Linked DNA regions of Stegostoma tigrinum. The protein of the gene in region 1 interacts with the protein of each later gene in a pairwise test. Links are inferred from orthologs where the notes say so. Each region holds a gene or a part of one and is shown on either strand. Other genes may lie near its edges.

Evidence for each region. The genes of interacting proteins can lie anywhere in the genome.
Region 2: the proteins of eif4a3 (region 1) and pdcd4b interact in binary tests that used the Homo sapiens proteins (3 or more experiments, as listed by UniProt). The two-hybrid records come from large-scale screens. The link is inferred for Stegostoma tigrinum from reciprocal best matches to the Homo sapiens genes EIF4A3 and PDCD4.

The regions. Positions count from the first base shown.
Region 1 is NC_081362.1:20,269,771-20,278,457, reverse strand, and holds the start of eif4a3 (eukaryotic initiation factor 4A-III), read right to left. Parts: upstream 3,650-8,687; 5' UTR 3,573-3,649; coding exon 3,428-3,572; intron 1-3,427. UniProt on the Homo sapiens protein: ATP-dependent RNA helicase. Involved in pre-mRNA splicing as component of the spliceosome. Core component of the splicing-dependent multiprotein exon junction complex (EJC) deposited at splice junctions on mRNAs.
Region 2 is NC_081373.1:2,184,283-2,192,444, forward strand, and holds the start of pdcd4b (programmed cell death protein 4b), read right to left. Parts: upstream 3,577-8,162; 5' UTR 2,931-3,576; coding exon 2,888-2,930; intron 1-2,887. UniProt on the Homo sapiens protein: Inhibits translation initiation and cap-dependent translation. May excert its function by hindering the interaction between EIF4A1 and EIF4G. Inhibits the helicase activity of EIF4A. Modulates the activation of JUN kinase.

The sequences.
Region 1 (8,687 bases):
CTCCAGCTGAAGAGGTGAATGAACCCTCATGTTTGTGGAATTGGGCAGTAAAAATGGAGACTGGATACGAACTTGAGTACAAGTCTTGACACACTATAGTGTTCAGGTAATGATGATTGCTTTGTCTTTTCATATACAAAGTTTGTTTTGTTTAAAAACATTATATCTTGCAGTTAGTCACTGAGTGTTTAAATTTCTCTTTAAATGTTACTGCTCTCCATGAAGTTCTTAACATATTTTCTGGCAAAGTTAAGGGTGATTCTAATGGAAGGAGATATGACAGGCAACAAAACACTAAGTGACAGCCCTCAGCAGGAAGCCATATCCACCGAGAGAAACTATTAATGCAAGTGTTCACATGCTACAACACCAGTGTATAAGATGGCAGTCATGGAGACCCGTGGCCTCATGTCAGGAAGACTTTGTCTCCGTACGGTCAGGCTTGCATTGCCTTCAGAAACTAAGGTCACAAACGCTTGATTTTTATGCTACTGGAATGTTCTAGGATCCCCAGATGATATATGCAGGATGTCCTAATCTTTTGTTCACTTCTGCGTACGGAGTGTCGCTGAGTCTTTAGCTCCTTAACGTAATGACTTTATATCATTGCTGCCAGAGAAAACCAGAAACATGCAGCTCTTGGATTCAACAGCAGTTGGCCACTTAGCCAATGGAGTCCCTTCCTATCATTCATTAGGAAAAGTTTTGCCTCATCTCTGCCCTAAATGAGATACCTGTTGCCTTGAAATTTTGCTTCCTCATTGTACAGACCCCAGTGGGGGTAAACCTCCTCTTAGTATCTGTGTCAGGGCCTCATAATTTTACTTCTCTCGTTAAGATTAAATCTGATTCTTGCAAACTCCAAATGATATACACCCACCTCCTTAACCTTTTCGCCTAAGGTAACCTTTCCATCCCAGTTCAGTTTGGCCCATATAACTCTGAAACTTTCCTAGTAATGTGCTTGTCCAAATGTCTTAAATATTCTAACTGTACACACCTCTACTACTTCCTCTGGCAGTTCATTCCAGAATTGCAATTCAGCACAATCTGTAACCTCATGGCCCGGCATATCCCCAACTCAACCATTACCATCAAGCCAGTGACTCAACCCTGGTTCAATGGACAGTGCAGGAGGGAAGGCCACGAACAGCACCAGGCATACCTGATGATGAGGTGCCAATCTGGTGAAGCCACCAACAGGACTACTTGCACGCCGAACAGAGAAAGCAGCAAGTGACACTCAGAGCTAAGTGATCCCACAAGCAATAGATCAGATCTAAGCTCTACAGTCCTGCCACATCCAGTCGTGAATGGTGGTGGACAATTAAACAACTCTCTGGAGGGGGCCACTCCACAAATATCCCCATCCTCAATGATGGAAGAACCCAGCATATCAGTGCAAAAGATAAGGCTGAAGCTTTTGCAGCAATCTTCAGCCAGAAGTGCCAAGTGGATGATCCAGCTCAGCCTCCTCTGGTCGTCCCCAGCATTACAGATACTAGTCTTCAGCCAATTCGATTCACTCTATGAGATATCAAGAATCGGTTGGAGGCACTGGATACTGCAAAGGCTATGGGCCTTGACAACATACCGACAACAGTACTGACTTGTGCTTCAGAACTTGCCTCTCCTTTAACTGAGCTGTTCTAGTACAGTCACAACAGTCACAAGCTGTTCCAGTACAGTCACAATCCAACAGTGTGGAAAACTGCCAAAGTACGTCCTGTACACAAAAGGTGGGACAAATCCAACACTGCCAATTACCACCCCATCAGTCTACTCTCAATCACCAGTAAAACGATGGAAGGTGTCATTAAGAGTGTTATCAAGCAGCACCTGCTCAGCAACACCCAGTTTGGGTTCCGCTAGGGCCACTCAGGTCCTGATCTCATTACAGCCTTGGTTCAAACACGGTCAAAAGAGCTGAATTCCAGAGGTGAGGTGAAAGTGACAGCCCTTGACACCAAGACCGCATTTGACTGAATGTGGCATCAGGGAGCCCGAGCAAAACTGGAATCAATGGATAACAGGGGGCAAACTCTCTGGTGGTTGGAGTCATACCTGAAATATAGAATATGGTTGTGGTCGTTGAAGGTCAATCATTCTCAGCCCCAGGACATCTGTGTAGGAGTTCCTCAGGATAGTGTCCTCAGTCCAACCATCTTCAGCTGCTTCATCAATGACCTTCCTTCCATCATAAGGTCAGAAGTGGGGATGTTCACCGATGATTGCACAATGATCAGCACCACTCATGATGCCTCAGATACTGAAGCAATCCGTGTTCAAATGCAACAAGATCTGGACAACATCCAGGTTTGGGCTGACAAGTGGTAAGTGACATTCATGCCACACAAATGCCAGACCATGACTATCACCAACAAGAGACAATCTAACCACCAGCCCTTGACATTCAACGGTGTTACCAACACTGAATCCCCCACTATCAACATCTTGGAGGTTATCACTGACCAGAAACTCAACTGGACTCACCACATAAACACGGTGGCTAGAAGAGCAGGCCAGAAGTGGGAATACTGTGGCGAGTAACTCACCACCTGGCTCCTCAAAGACTGTCCACCATCTGCAAACACACAAGTCACGAGTGTGATGGAATACCCCCTCAGTTGCCTGGATGAGTGCAGCCCCAACATCACTCAAGAAGCTTAACACCTTCCAATTTTAAAACTGTTTCCTACACTGCAAAGGTAGTTACACTTCAACAGTATTTAATTACTTCATGGTTGCTGGCTAGATGACTCTTTTGTGATGTAAAGGTGATGCTTACAGCCAACGTTCAATTCTTGTCCCAGCTGAGGTTACTACGAAGGTCCCACCTTCTCACCTGTGCCTCTTGTCTGACTGGGTGGTTACTCTCATGTTAAAACACCACAGGCATTTCTAATGACACAGCAGCCCTACAGTCCAGCTCTACACCTTTTTTCTTAGCCCTACAGTCCATTGGGATTATGGTAATTACTTTATTTACAGCCAGCAAAATGTCATGGACCTTAATTTCTTAGCAAAAGCTTACCACATCTGCGCCCCCCTCCACACTTGTCCTAAGACCATCTGCTGCTGAAACCCTTTAAAATGCCTTGCATTGTCACCTCCAGATTTGACATTCCAGAACGATCTCATATCCTCCAATCTATGTAAAATTGTAACTGTTTACGGTTTTCCAAACGTGCAAAGCCTTGCTTGTTCCAAATCCTTACCGTTGAGGGCGCTGTCCACTTAATGCACGCAACTGATTAGTGGAAGAAGGAGATGGATTTGCGGGCATCCTGGGCCTCTAACAGAAACACTCTGGCTCCAGGAGCGTGAACAGGGTCCACTCCATCAAGGCCAAGGTCTGAAGCCCTGGTTTCAATCACCTCAGCATCGCGCCGCCGCGAGGCTTCCTGCCAGTCTAGGCCGCACTCACCGTACGCGTAGATACCCCGCAGTAAGTCCTCCCGCAAGCCCATCGTGTCGAAGGTAGGGGTGACATCCACCTCCTCGCTTGTCTCAAACTCCACCTTGGAGATATCTTCCTCCTTCAGGATGCGCTTCCTCCCCGAACTTGCCATGATCCGGTCCCTGGTCACACGAATACCGTCAAACACCGGGAGAGTCCGACAACACGCATGCGTGAACGCCGCCAATCTACGTGACCCAGCTCGTGTACGTCAGCGTGATATCGTCACTGGGCGTGTCGTCGATTTGATTGACAGCAGTTCCTGAGGGATTTGGTCCAGATATTTGAAAAGCGTGAGGTCTTAAGTTCCCATGATAGCCACCTTAATTATCCATTTTTGATCCCTTTTTTCCTATCATTGTGCTGACAGACTTTATGCCGTGAAATATAGCATTGGCTTAAACTTGGATTACTCAAACTGAGCATTGGGAAACCCAAAGTATTCTGAATCCCTACCACAGATTCTGCTTCTGTGCAATTGATTCTAACCTTCACCCTAGCCATGATTCAGGTTGAGAAAGAATAGGAACTGCCGACGCTGGAGAATATCAGATAACAATGTGTGGAGCTGGATGAACACAGCAGGCCAGGCAGCATCAGAGGAGCAGGAAAGCTGACATTTCGGTTCTGATGAAGAGTCTAGGCCCGAAACGTCAGCTTTTATGCTGCTTGACCTGCTGTGTTCATCCAGCTTCACACTTTGTTATCTTGTTTTGGGTCTCGACCCTTCTTTGGAAATGGCAGTTAGAGCTGAAGAGGTCGAGGGAGGGTAGGAGGCCTTGGGGTGGTGTCTAGGAGGATGGGGTGTGTTGGAGGTGGGAGAAGGGGTCCGTAGAGGGGGGGATAGACTCACGATTAAAGAAATAAGCACAGAGGTGGTGGAAACACTGTTCAACTTCCAGGCATGAGCAATATTCATTGATGTTTGGATGGAGGGGGATAGAGGTGAGTCCTTTGCTGAGGAATGACCGTTCATCTTCAGTGAGGGGGAGGTCCAGGGGGATGGTGAAAACCCAGCAGGGCTGGGGCTGCTTTTGACTATAGACTTGCTAGCTGTAGGGGCGGTGGGCAGAGCGGCGTCAGCGGTGGATGGAGTGGCATTGGTGTCGGTAGACTGTCCTTGATGTTTGCAATGCTACCGGTTTCTCAAGAAGGGTCCAGAGCTGAAACATCAGCATTCCTGCTCATCTGATGCCGCCTGTCCTGCTGTGTTCACCCAGCTCCACACCTTATTATTTATGATTTAGGTTGAACTGGAATATTCACAGCCTCAGTGTCATGATTGACCATGGCTAAATATCAGACCTTAGATCCTTTCCATTGCTTGTAGAAAGCTTACCACATCTGCGTCCCCCTCCACACTTGTTCTAAGACCAGCTGCTGCTGAAACCCTTTACAATGCCTTGCATTGTCACCTCCAGATTTGACATTCCAGAATGATCTCATATCTTCCAATCTATGTAAAATTGTAACTGTTTACGGTTTTCCAAACGTGCAAAGCCTTGCTTGTTCCAAATCCTTACCATTCTTTGATCTCATTGGCTTCCTGTCTTTAAGGTTTGAAATTTAAAAATTATAATCCTTGTATTAAAATCTTCCATGGCCTCACTCTTCCAATCAATTGGAAATGCTGTACCTCATAAAACTATGCTCAGACTTTGATCCTCTGACTCTAACCTCTGTGAATCTCTCCCCCTCAACTTCTCAAAAACAGCAGCGAGGGTCCTATTTACTGAAAATTGTTAGGAAGGGGAGGTTGAACCTTTCTGATAACTAAAATTGAAAAACAAGCCTCCAATCTGTTACAGCAGGAGTCGCAGTCCCTTTCTAATGATTAAACCCAAAACACCCAGAGAAACTCGCCTCACCTCTCCTAATCTGTTAAACTGTTACGGACCCGGGGAGGTTAAGTGAAAGAAAATTCCTGATAGTCACTTTATAAATAACAAATAACAATTTATTTATTTAACTCTAACAATAACATACTGAACAGTTGCTCCACCCCCAACTTCTAACATTTCACTAATTGAACAAAATTCTACTGAAACACTTCAAATAAACACAAGTCCCACTTATATAAACCCAATTAATAAAACAGTAAATTAAAACTTAATCTCTCCAAGTTCACACAGACTGCATCTTCATAGAATTCCAACAGCATGGAAACAAGCCCTTCAGCCCAACAAGTCCACACTGACACTTGGAGCATCCCACTCAGACCCATCCCCCTATAACCCACCTAAGCTATACATCGCTGAACACTATGGACAATTTAGCATGGCCGATCCACCTAGCCTGCACATCTTTGGACTGTGGGAGGAAACTGGAGCACCCAGAGGAAACCCACACAGACACAGGGAGAACATGCAAACTCCACACAGTCACCCGAGGGTGGAATTGAACCCTGGTGCTGTGAGGCAGTAGTGCGAACCACTCTACCACTGTGCCATGTTATCCATTGTTAATAGTGATCTGAACTTTGTCTTCATACAGCTTTCAGAGCCCACAAAACTGTACCTAATATCTGGGTTAAAGTGATAAGATGAAATGACACGCTATTGAGAATGGAGTGAAGGGTGGATTTGTGTGTCTTCCGGAACACTCTGCCTTCTCCAGCATTTCCTCTTGATTTCAACTCACAAACATCTTTCTTCTGCAGATCTTGCTGTCATAGATGTTTTCTGTGTAATTTCCTAGTTCAGACATCCATTTTAACTCTTAAGTACTGTAAAAAACGTAATCTTTTAAAGGGACAATGCAATACTTTTCCCCATTTTACAATTTTACACACACCAATGTTGTAACAAAATCTCTTCCCAATCATCTCCGCCCATTCATTTCAATTAGGAGATTGGTTGCCCCTTTCCTAATGTCATGACAATTCTAATGTTATAATGTCTTAAGACTGATATTTTGCTTTGCAAAAGTGTTCAATTTACGAATAGGTAGAGGAAGTTGCAGCTTTGGTTTTATGAAGGTTTCAACTCACTCAGAGTTGAAGGAACAAAATAAATTGATGTAAGCTAGGCCTGCACCTGAAGCAAAGATATTTGGATGTGAATGTAGGGGTATGGTTAGAAAATTTGCAGATGACAAAAATTGGTGGTGAAGTGGACAGCAAAGAAGGTTACTTCAGAGTACAATGGGACATTGATCAAATGGGCTGATGGGCTGAAGAGTGGCAGATGGAGTTTAATCTGGATAAATGTGAGGTGTTACTTTTTGTTAGGGCAAATCAGACCATGACTTACACATTTAACGCAAATGTCCTGGGAGAGTTGTCCAACAAAGGGACCTTGGAGTGCAGGTTTATTCTTCCTGAAATTGGATTCCCATGTAGGCAGGGTAGTGAAGAAGGTATTTCATACACTCGTCTTTATTGGTCAGTGCATTGAGTGTAGGAGTTGGGAGGTCATGTTGTGGCTGTGCAGGACATTGGTTATGCCACTTTTGGACTACTATGTTCAATTCAGATTCCCTTGCTTTATGAAAGATGTTGTTAAACTTGAAAGGGTTCACAAAAGATTTATAAGGATGTTGCCAAGGCTGGAGGGTTTGAGCAATAGGGAGAGACTGATTAGGCTGGTGCTGGAGCATCATAGGCTGAGGGGTGACCTTATAGAGATTTATAAAATCATGATGTGCACGGGATAGGGTGAATCGTTAAGGTCTGTTCCTCAGGCTAGAGGGTCCAAAACTAGAGGGCAGGTGTTTAATGTGAGAGGGGAAAGAGTTAAAAGGGACCTAGAGGGCAACTTTTTCACTCAGAGTGTGGTGCGTGTGTGGAATGAACTGCCAGAAGAAGTGGTGAAGACTGGTACAATTACAACATCTAAAAGACATCTGAATGGGTATATGAATAGGAAGGGTTTAGAGGGATATGGGCCAAAAGCTAGCAAATGAGCCAAAATTAATTTAGGATATTTGGTCAGCATGGAAGTGTTGGACCGAAGGATCTGTTTCTGTGCTGTGCACCTCTATGACAATACTAATTTTATTGTGAGGATACAGTGGGAGCTCATGCTCAGTTGAAGAAAGAGTTGGGAGGGGAAAAGAGATTGGAAGATCTGCCTACCTTGGAGTTAGAAGATAAAATTTACAGGAAACTAACTTGGCAAAAGCAATTTAGCTTGGCATCAGGCAGAGAAAGGCAGCTTGTCAAGAACTGTAAAGCAGCTGTTGGACCAAGAGTTGTGCAGAAACTGAGAAAAGACAGGGTGAAAGCAACCTGTATTAGAGCAAATACTGGGGATGCTGGAGATTTGAAATGAAATCAAAGTGCTGGAGAAACAGAACAGGTTAACCTGAAAAAGTCATAGTGAACTTCTATGACTTTTATGCAGAGAGAAAGAGTTTATCAGAACTGCTAAGTTACGCCAACGCTTTCTGTTTTAATTAAACCAGCTTCTGTCTGTCCAAAAAAAACAACAGGAGCAGAAAGGCAAATGGAACTAGGATGTTCTGATTTTTAAATTGATAAATACAAAAGCTATGAGGTTCAAGGTTGAGCTCAGAAGTTACCAGTTATGGTTTTTTGTAGAAATGTTGGACAATCACCAAACCACAAGCAAACTCAAGGGTCCTCATTGCATCTCATAAGTTGGAGATTAGCTGGCACACTAAGCAGAAGACAAAGAGAATTCCAGAGAGCTTTGCCTTTCTTGGTTTGTTTCCAGATGAAGAGGTGAATGAACCCTCAAAATTGTGAAATTAAAGCAGTAAAAGGGGGACTGGATAAGAACTGATGATTAAAAGTCTTGACAAACTATGGTGTTAAGATGCTTGCTTTGTTTTTATATATACAGTAAAGTCTGTATTGTTTTAAAACATTAAATCGTTTGGTGTAGTTCTTCCAGTAACTCACTAGGTGTTCAGATTTCTCTATGGAACTTTCAACACCAATATCCTCATCATCCGGTAAAGTTGTGTGTTTATATTATAAATGCCAGTTGCCTTACATTTTAATTTTAAAACGATTGTTCCCATGTTGCTAAGCAGTTACAACTCAACAGTATGTAATTACTTTATGGGTGCTAAAAGTGTTCTTAAAGTGCAAGTTCAGATAGGAATAAAAAAATAAATTAAGCAACTTGCATACATCAAAATGAAACAGCAAAATGAAATGAGGGCTGAAGATTAGCCAGGATAGGAGGAAGAACTCCTGTGTTGTATTTTTAAGAAAAAGCATCATAGGATCTTTTACACTAAATAGAGATGGCTGATTAAT
Region 2 (8,162 bases), on another chromosome or scaffold:
GATCCTGGGATTGTACTCATTAGAGTTTAGAAGGTTGGGGGGAGATCTAATAGAAACTTACAAGTTAATGTATGGCTTAGAAGGGATAGACTCTGGGAAGTTGTTTCCGTTAGGCGAGGAGACTAGGACCCGTGGGCACAGCCTTAAAATTAGAGGGGGTAAATTTAAAATGGAAATGAGATGACATCTCTTCAGCCAGAGAGTGGTGGGCTTGTGGAATTCATTGCCACGGAGTGCAGTGGAGGCCGGGAAGTTAGGTGCCTTCAAGGCAGAGATCGACAAATTCTTGATCTCACAAGGAATCAAGGGCTACGGGGAGAGTGCAGGGAAGTGGAGTTGAAATGCCCACCAGCCCTGATTTAAATAGCGGAGTGGACTTAATGGGCCGAATGGCCTTACTTCCACTCCTGTGTTTAATGGTCTTATGGAGAAATTTCAAATTCCCATTAAATGAGGCAGCCTGCTTTTGTATAAACAGCTTTGACAAAATAACCTTAACACTACCTACTAACCTCATCCCGCCCCCTTGACCTGTCCATCCTCCCCAGACTGACTTATCCCCTCCCTACCTACACTCACCTCTACTGACTCCATCCCCGCCTCTAACTTCTGTCTCATCTCCACCTATCTTCTCCTCTATCCATCTTTTATCTGCCTCCCCCTCTCTCTCTCCCCCTTTTCTGAAGAAGAGTCTAGGCCCAAAACATCAGCATTTGTGTTCCTAAGATGCTGCTTGGCCTGCTGTGTTCATCCAGCTCCACACTCTTATCTCTTGACAAAATATGGTGTTGTGCAGAAGCCGGTTCAGACAGCAATTAACAAAAACCACCACAAAGATTCACTCCCACTACCTGTAACACAGTGGCAATAGTGTGGATCATCTACAGGACGCACTGAAACAACTCACCCAGGTTCCTGTGATAGCTCCTTCCAAATCTGCATCTTTCTAGGTAATAGAGGTCAAGGACAAAAAAATACATAGGAGCACCTTTGATCATCAGCTGCAGGTCCCCCTTTGAGCCTCAGGCCATTGAGAGTTGGAAATTCATCAGCATTCATTCGGGTAAAATCCTGGAATTTCCTTCTCTAACAGCACTGCGTGTACCGGAACATCATGTACTACAGCGACTTGACAATGCAGCTCATCACTACCACCAAGGGAAATCAGGGATGGGCAACAGATGCTGGCATAGCCAGTGAGGTTCACTTCCAATGAATGGATAAAAAGAGAAAAGTCAATATTAGGTGAGGAACAAAAAGCTTGGTCAAACCGATAAGATTTAAGGAGTGCACGAGAAGATGGCGAAGGCAGAAACAAAAAAGGCTTAGAAAGGAAAATCCAGAATTTAGGGTCTAAAAAGCCAAAGGCTCAGCCATGAAGGCACGTTCAAGAAGAATACAATGTTAGTGAAGGGCTGTAAAGATAGAATAAACAATAGAGGTAATGGGTACAGCATCACACAGGGAGTTAATCAGTGAGATTTTTTCAGAGGTCTTAGGACTACAGAACAATATATAAATGTTAGGAAATGAAACAAATGAATGGAACTTGGTGCAAAGCATTGGTACAATCAGGTGTGGAGGTACTAAAATACATGAAGTTGGGAAGCAGTGAAAATGGAAGATTACAGTCTTGAAATTTCCAGTGTTTAACTGGGCTCGATGCCAGGCAAGCAGACAGGGAGCACATGATGAAGTGCAAAAGACTGACAAGAGACATGACCCTCTGTCACAGAATACAAAACTAAATTAGCTTTAAGAGCCATGCCTGTCCTTCATTTTAAAATGGTTAGAAGATCAATCCCTCAACCCATCAGTCCTATTATTTGTCCAGCAGTGACAGACATGAGTTGCTACACCTGCTGGGAAACAAGAGCTATACATGTCATGAATACATCATACGATCTGTTTCACCCAATCACAACATTATCACAATATATTAAAATAAAATGTTATTAACATAAAAGAATCTCAATTACAACAAACAACTTGGTTCAGATAGTTGCAAATTCCAGTCTACATTCAGGAATTGGGCCAATATTACCACGCATTATTGAAGTAGCACTGTATGGTTAGAGGGGAGACCAATTTACCTCCTCCAGTTTACGATAAAAAGGTCGCGTGATATTATTCAAAGACAAAATACAATATTCTGGAGAACTAACGCCTTCAACCAAAAGCATAACAGCCATCACGGCAATTACTGCAACCTGTATTACATAACAGATACAGCAGACTTTTACTTTAAACTGCAAAGTTCTTCAATACAAGGTTGCTTTCCTCCCACAAATGCCACAAACAACTTTGATATATAATGCAAGATCCCCTGTGGTGCACAAAGTTCATTTTAATTCTTGAAAAAAAAGGCCAATTTTTGTTTTGTTTTGGAAGGGGGGAGGAGTGATGAGAGAAATTACCAACTCGTTAAATCTTAAAATCCTAGATTAACACTTAAGTAAACGTGTGCATCATCGCGGCGATTAAAGGGTTAAGAACATCAATACCTTCCGAAACAAAACAGTGACTGAAGAAATTCAATTCTCAAAACCACCAAATACACACTGACTAGGAAACACACTAAAGAACAGTAACACTCCATCACAGCACGTGGCCATGCAAGATGCTTCCCTGGAACTTTTAAAGTGGAAGTACTTCTGGAAGAAATATGGCAACACACGCGGCATTTGAAAACAAAACAAAAAACTTATTCGAAGAGGTGCAATGAGGGTTAAAGCACACGAAAATTAAGAATTTCAGTCCCAAAATAGATATTCGCCTTGCACATCGTGATCACAATACTACTTGTTATTAAAAAATCATTTTAAATAGAATCTCTGCGTTCAAAAAGCCATTGCAATGAACATCCAGACCTCCTGTGTCTCAGTACCTGCTGCAGAGTTTCTGAATTTGCTCTCTGCCTCTGTTGCCATGTTGCTGGAAGGTCTGAGCCCTAGATCTCAGGGAGTGGAGTGTGTGTTTTCACAGGGAGTGACAGCGAGGGCTCACAGGGTGGTGTGCTGAGGGGGAACTGGAGTCTCAGGAAGTGCGAGACAGCGAGTGTTGTCTCCGAGTGTGGGCGGAGGCACTGATTTCCAATGGGAGAGTGGGCGGAGAGCTGCCTCGGGGAGGGCGAAGGGAGCGATTTCTCGGGGGGGGGGGAGAGAAGGTGTGTGGGTTTGGTTCGGTTCAGGAAGTGAAAGGTGATCGCTGTATCTGGGAGGGGTGGTCTTCATACGGTGATGGGGGCTGTTCCCCTCGGGGTGGAGGGTTTTGTCTCTGTTTCTTGTCCCTGTGGGGGAAGGGAGTTTTATCCCTATGGGGGTGGGGGGGAAGGGATTGTCTCGGGGTGGTGGGGGGTGTCCCTGTTGGGGGAGGGTTTTGTCCCGATGGGGGAACAGACAAGTTGTCTCACAGGGTGGGGGTTTTGACTCAGGAAGTGGGTGGGGTGGGTGACTGTTGAGGGGATGTGGAAGGAATTGTCTCGGGTAGGGGGGGTTTGTTCCTGTAGGGGAGGGGAGTAGTTTTCTCACGGGGGGGGTTTGTCCCTGTGGGAAAGGGGTTTATGGGTTGCTTTGTGCCTGTGTGGGTGAAGGGGGTTGTCTCGGGGGGGGGGGGAGGGAGAAGAGGTGTTTTGACCCTGTGGGGGGGGGGGAAGGGATTGTCTGACGGGGTGTGGGGGTTGTTTTGATCCTGTGGGGGGGAAGAGAGGGATTGTCTGACGGGGTGTGGGGGTTGTTTTGACCCTATGTGGGGGGGGGGAGGGATTGTCTGACGGGGTGTGGGGGTTGTTTTGACCCTGTGGGGGGAGGGATTGTCTGACGGGGTGTGGGGGTTGTTTTGACCCTGTGGGGGGAGGGATTGTCTGACGGGGTGTGGGGGTTGTTTTGACCCTATGTGGGGGGGGGAGGGATTGTCTGACGGGGTGTGGGGGTTGTTTTGACCCTGTGGGGGGAGGGATTGTCTGACGGGGTGTGGGGGTTGTTTTGACCCTGTGTGGGGGGTGAAGGGTTGTCTAAGGGACGATGGTTCCCCCGGGGCCTGTATCTTTCCCCCTGAACCCACACCCGCCCCCTCAGCGCCTCCCACTTGAAGGAAAACAAATCGGTTGTTTAATTTGAACGGAGCCCCTGAGGGAGGAGAATGACCCAGTGACTGGAATCCTGCGGCAGTTCCTCTCTCCGACCTCCGGGAATCCTCAGGCGGCGGCGATCCTACCCCCGGGCTCGGGCACTCCTCTGGAGCGCAACCCCCCTTCCAGTCGCTTCGAATTGTTCCCCCCCCCCCTTGGGACACGTGGCTAGCAACAGCATTGTTCATTCGCCACCTTCGCCTCAGGTCCGACCAATGGCAGCCAGGTCCATTCGACGGCGGCCGGCCCAACGACCAATCAACGCCAAGTACTGTTCGGCTCCCCCTCAATCCGAGGCTAGTCTCAGTGCTGCCACCTGCCTTGGAGGTCCTGCCCGATGGTCTCCCAGCGAAAGGTAATGGGAGCTGCAGATGCTGGTGAATCCGAGATAACAAAGTGCTCCTGAGATGCTGCTTGGCCTGCTGTGTTCATCCAGCCTCACATTTTATTATCTTGGAATCTCCAGCATCTGCAGTTCCCATTATCTCTGATAACAAAGTGTAGAGCTGGATGAACACAGCAGGCCAAGCAGCATCTTAGGAGCACAAAAGCTGACGTTTCCTATTCCCTCCCTAACTCTCCACCTACACTCACCGTTACTGGCTCCATCCCCGCCTCTTTGTCTCCTCTCCACCTATCTTCTCCTCTATCCATCTTCGATCCGCCTCCCCCTCTCTCCCTATTTATTTCAGAACCCTCTCTCCCTTCCCCTTTTCTGATGAAGGTTCTTGGCCGGAAGCATCAGCTTTCCTGCTCCTAAGATGCTGCTTGACCTGCTGTGTTCATCCAGCTCTACACCTTGTTATCTTGGTCTCCCAGCTAGGATCCATGGCTGGGTGCACTCAGTGCTGGCTCCTGGTTTATAGGACATCCTCAGAGGACTCATGCTGCCACCCTTCTCAGATGTGATGTCAGGCGTGCAATGCCTTGCCTGTCAGACATTGGGAGATGTAATTATCATTTGGATCATCTGGTTCCTCAGGAAAGGAGAAGTAAACCAAACGGAATTCTTTAGTGAGGTGCCGGTTAATACTCCACTTGGTTTTAGGGAGGGTGTCACAGTGACTGGGTCTGCTGTGGTTGACATCTCATTCTCCAGCACCAGGCCTGTAATCCTTTAGTCTGTGTGTGTGTTATTCATCTCAAAATGTTTTTACACCCTCTCATTGCCTCAAAATACATGCTAATAGTTTTCTGCATGATTTGCAAATACTTTTGATTTTGTAACTATAGGAAGGCTGTGAGAAATGTCAAAATTCTGATGTTTTGCTTTTTCTCTGTAAAGACTGTACACAGCTGATTTAAAAACTTTGTATGTACCTACAGATGATTTTTAAAATGAATAAGGTACATTTGGGCAAAAAAATCTTGAGGGTTTCTGCATCAACCATCAGTCAGTTCCAGATTCCCACCACCGTAGATGAAAATATTTTCCTACTTAAATCTTCTCTAAACCACCTGCTCCTTTCCTTAAAAACTGTGCCCCCAGTTTCTGATCCCTGGACTAAGGGAAAACATTTCTCCTTACCGTCCCGTGTGTGCCCCTTAAAACTTTGTACACCTCAGTCAGATTCCCCTCAGCCCTCCCTGCTCTAAACCGGCTGCTTGTCTGTCCCAGTCTCTCTGGATCTCTCCATCCCAGGGAACCTCCTAGTGAATCTCCTCTGCACCCTGTCCAGTGCAATCACATCCTTCCTATAGAGCAGCAACCAGACCTGCACACAGTACTCCAGCAGTGGCCGAACATTACATACAGCTCCATCATTATCTCCTCACTCTTGTTTTTAGTGCCTTGACTCATTAAGGCAAGTGTCTTACATACCTTTTGTTGTGGCGCAGTGGTAGTGTCCCTGGCTCTGAGCCATGAGCCTGGGGTCCCAATTCTGCCTGCTCCAGAGGTATGCCATAACAAACCTGAACTGGATGATTAAAAACATTTCCCACATGCCATTCTAGTTGAGAGAATGAAGAGAAGATTTCAATTCTTACTAGAATGGCAGCAAATAGAAGGACTTCAATGGTGTGGGAAGACCAGAGAAGCTGGAATTTTTAAAAAAAACCACACAGACTGCTTCAAATGCTCAGGAAGTCAGACAGTACCTGGAGAAAAACAGTGAATGTTGCACGATGATAATCTGTACTGTCCCACTTGAGTTTGTACCCTGGTCCAAAAAAAATCAGAAAATCATAATTGTCACAATCCAGAAGGAAGTCATTGAGCCCATTGAGCTGAAACAAAACAAAACAGAAGTTGCTGGAGAAAGCTCATAGGACTCCAAACATTAACATGGTTTTCTCTCAGGATGCTGCCAGACCTGCTGAGTTTCTCCAGCAGTTTCTGTCACTGCTGGAGTGTTCACTTGCTAACGAATATGGCTTATGGGCTTCAAATGGGTATGACAGGTCAGCACAACATCGAGGGCCGATTATGATAATCATCAACTATTATTTGCTGTATCCAAATTATTACATTGCTCGCAACCAAAAGATGTGTGAACCAGCTTGCCACCACCATTTGCTTAAAGAAGTTTTACTTCTGTCTGCTATAAACTCTTACCTTAAATCAATGTGTGCTGTAATGTCCTATGTTCTATGAGCAGTGCTTGAAAACTTTGACAATAGGTCACACCCAAATAATATCCCTAACCAGGATTACAGGAGGCAGTCAGAATAAAACTCACAATATTTTATGGTATCCAGCATACCTCTTCTGATTACATGAAACAACTGCAGGTCATTACTGGTTCATACTTTTCCCCAAACTGCCTTAACTTTTCCACGTTATCCCTGCTTTTCCTTTGTTCCTATCTTGGCCCTATCTCTGTACATTCACTACAGGCTTGCAAACCCTTGATAGGCATCAGGATAATTCATTGGTACTGGCAAGTGAGCTGATTTATCAATTTATTTATTTATTTGAGCTGATGTCCAAGGGTGAATTTATTTCCGTTCTTGGATCCCTTTTTCAGGCATGTTACTGTTGAGCACTGCTGTGTTGATTGTGCAGCCTTTGGGATATCCAGTTGCTACATTGAGAGGCAATATGCCAATGCAGGCTGTTTCTTTCTTGTTTTAATTTCCTGTCAATGTCCACTGGTACCATTGAAGAGTATTCAGCAGACATTGAAAGCCAGATTTTATCTGCCAATGGGCAACCATGCCAGAGAGTTAATGTCCTGCTCTTCAAACAGAAAAATATCCAGTTGACTGTAATACCCAGGCCTGATTTATGTTCCAGCAAATTAATTAAAAATGGTTAAAATCTCATCTGAATTTTTTTATTGCAACAGCCTACTGTGAAGCCTCAATTGAAGAGCTGACCTATAGGATACCTATCAATTGTTCACAAATTACTTCATTGTCCACTGCCATTTCCCAAATAGATATTGTGCTCGAATCCTGTTGAATCTAAACAACTAGATTATTAGCAACACAAATTCTCCATAATTAACTCAGCATTTCACATTGGCTTTTTCATCACCCACTTTCCAAATTGCGCTTGAGCATTGTTTGGGAATTATAATTCCTCATGCTCAGACAGGTCTTGGCCTTGCTGCAGGCAGTTGAAAGCATCTAGTGTTTTCTCAGAGATAGAAAGAACTGCTGATCCTGGAGTCAGAGATAACACAGCGTGGAGCTGGAGGAACACAGCAGGCCAGGCAGCATCAGAGAAAAGTATGCAGGCACTGCTCACATCTTTCATGGCCAAGAACATCTGCTTTCCTGCTCCTCTGATGCTGCCTGGCCTGCTATGTTCCTCCAGCTCCACACTGTGTTATCTTGCGTTCACTCAGTGTTGCTTTGAACTAAATGTGCCATAAGTAGAAGAATCCAAACTAAGTAAACAAGCCCATATAGTCACGGAAATAATTAACTCAGAACCAAAGAAACCTACAGCACAGGAACAGGCCCTTTGGACCTCCAAGCCTACGCCGATCAAGATCCTCTGTCTAACCTGTCATCTATTTTCTAACGGTCTGTATCCCTTTCCTCCCTGCCCATCCATGTACCTGTCCAAATATATCTTAAAAGA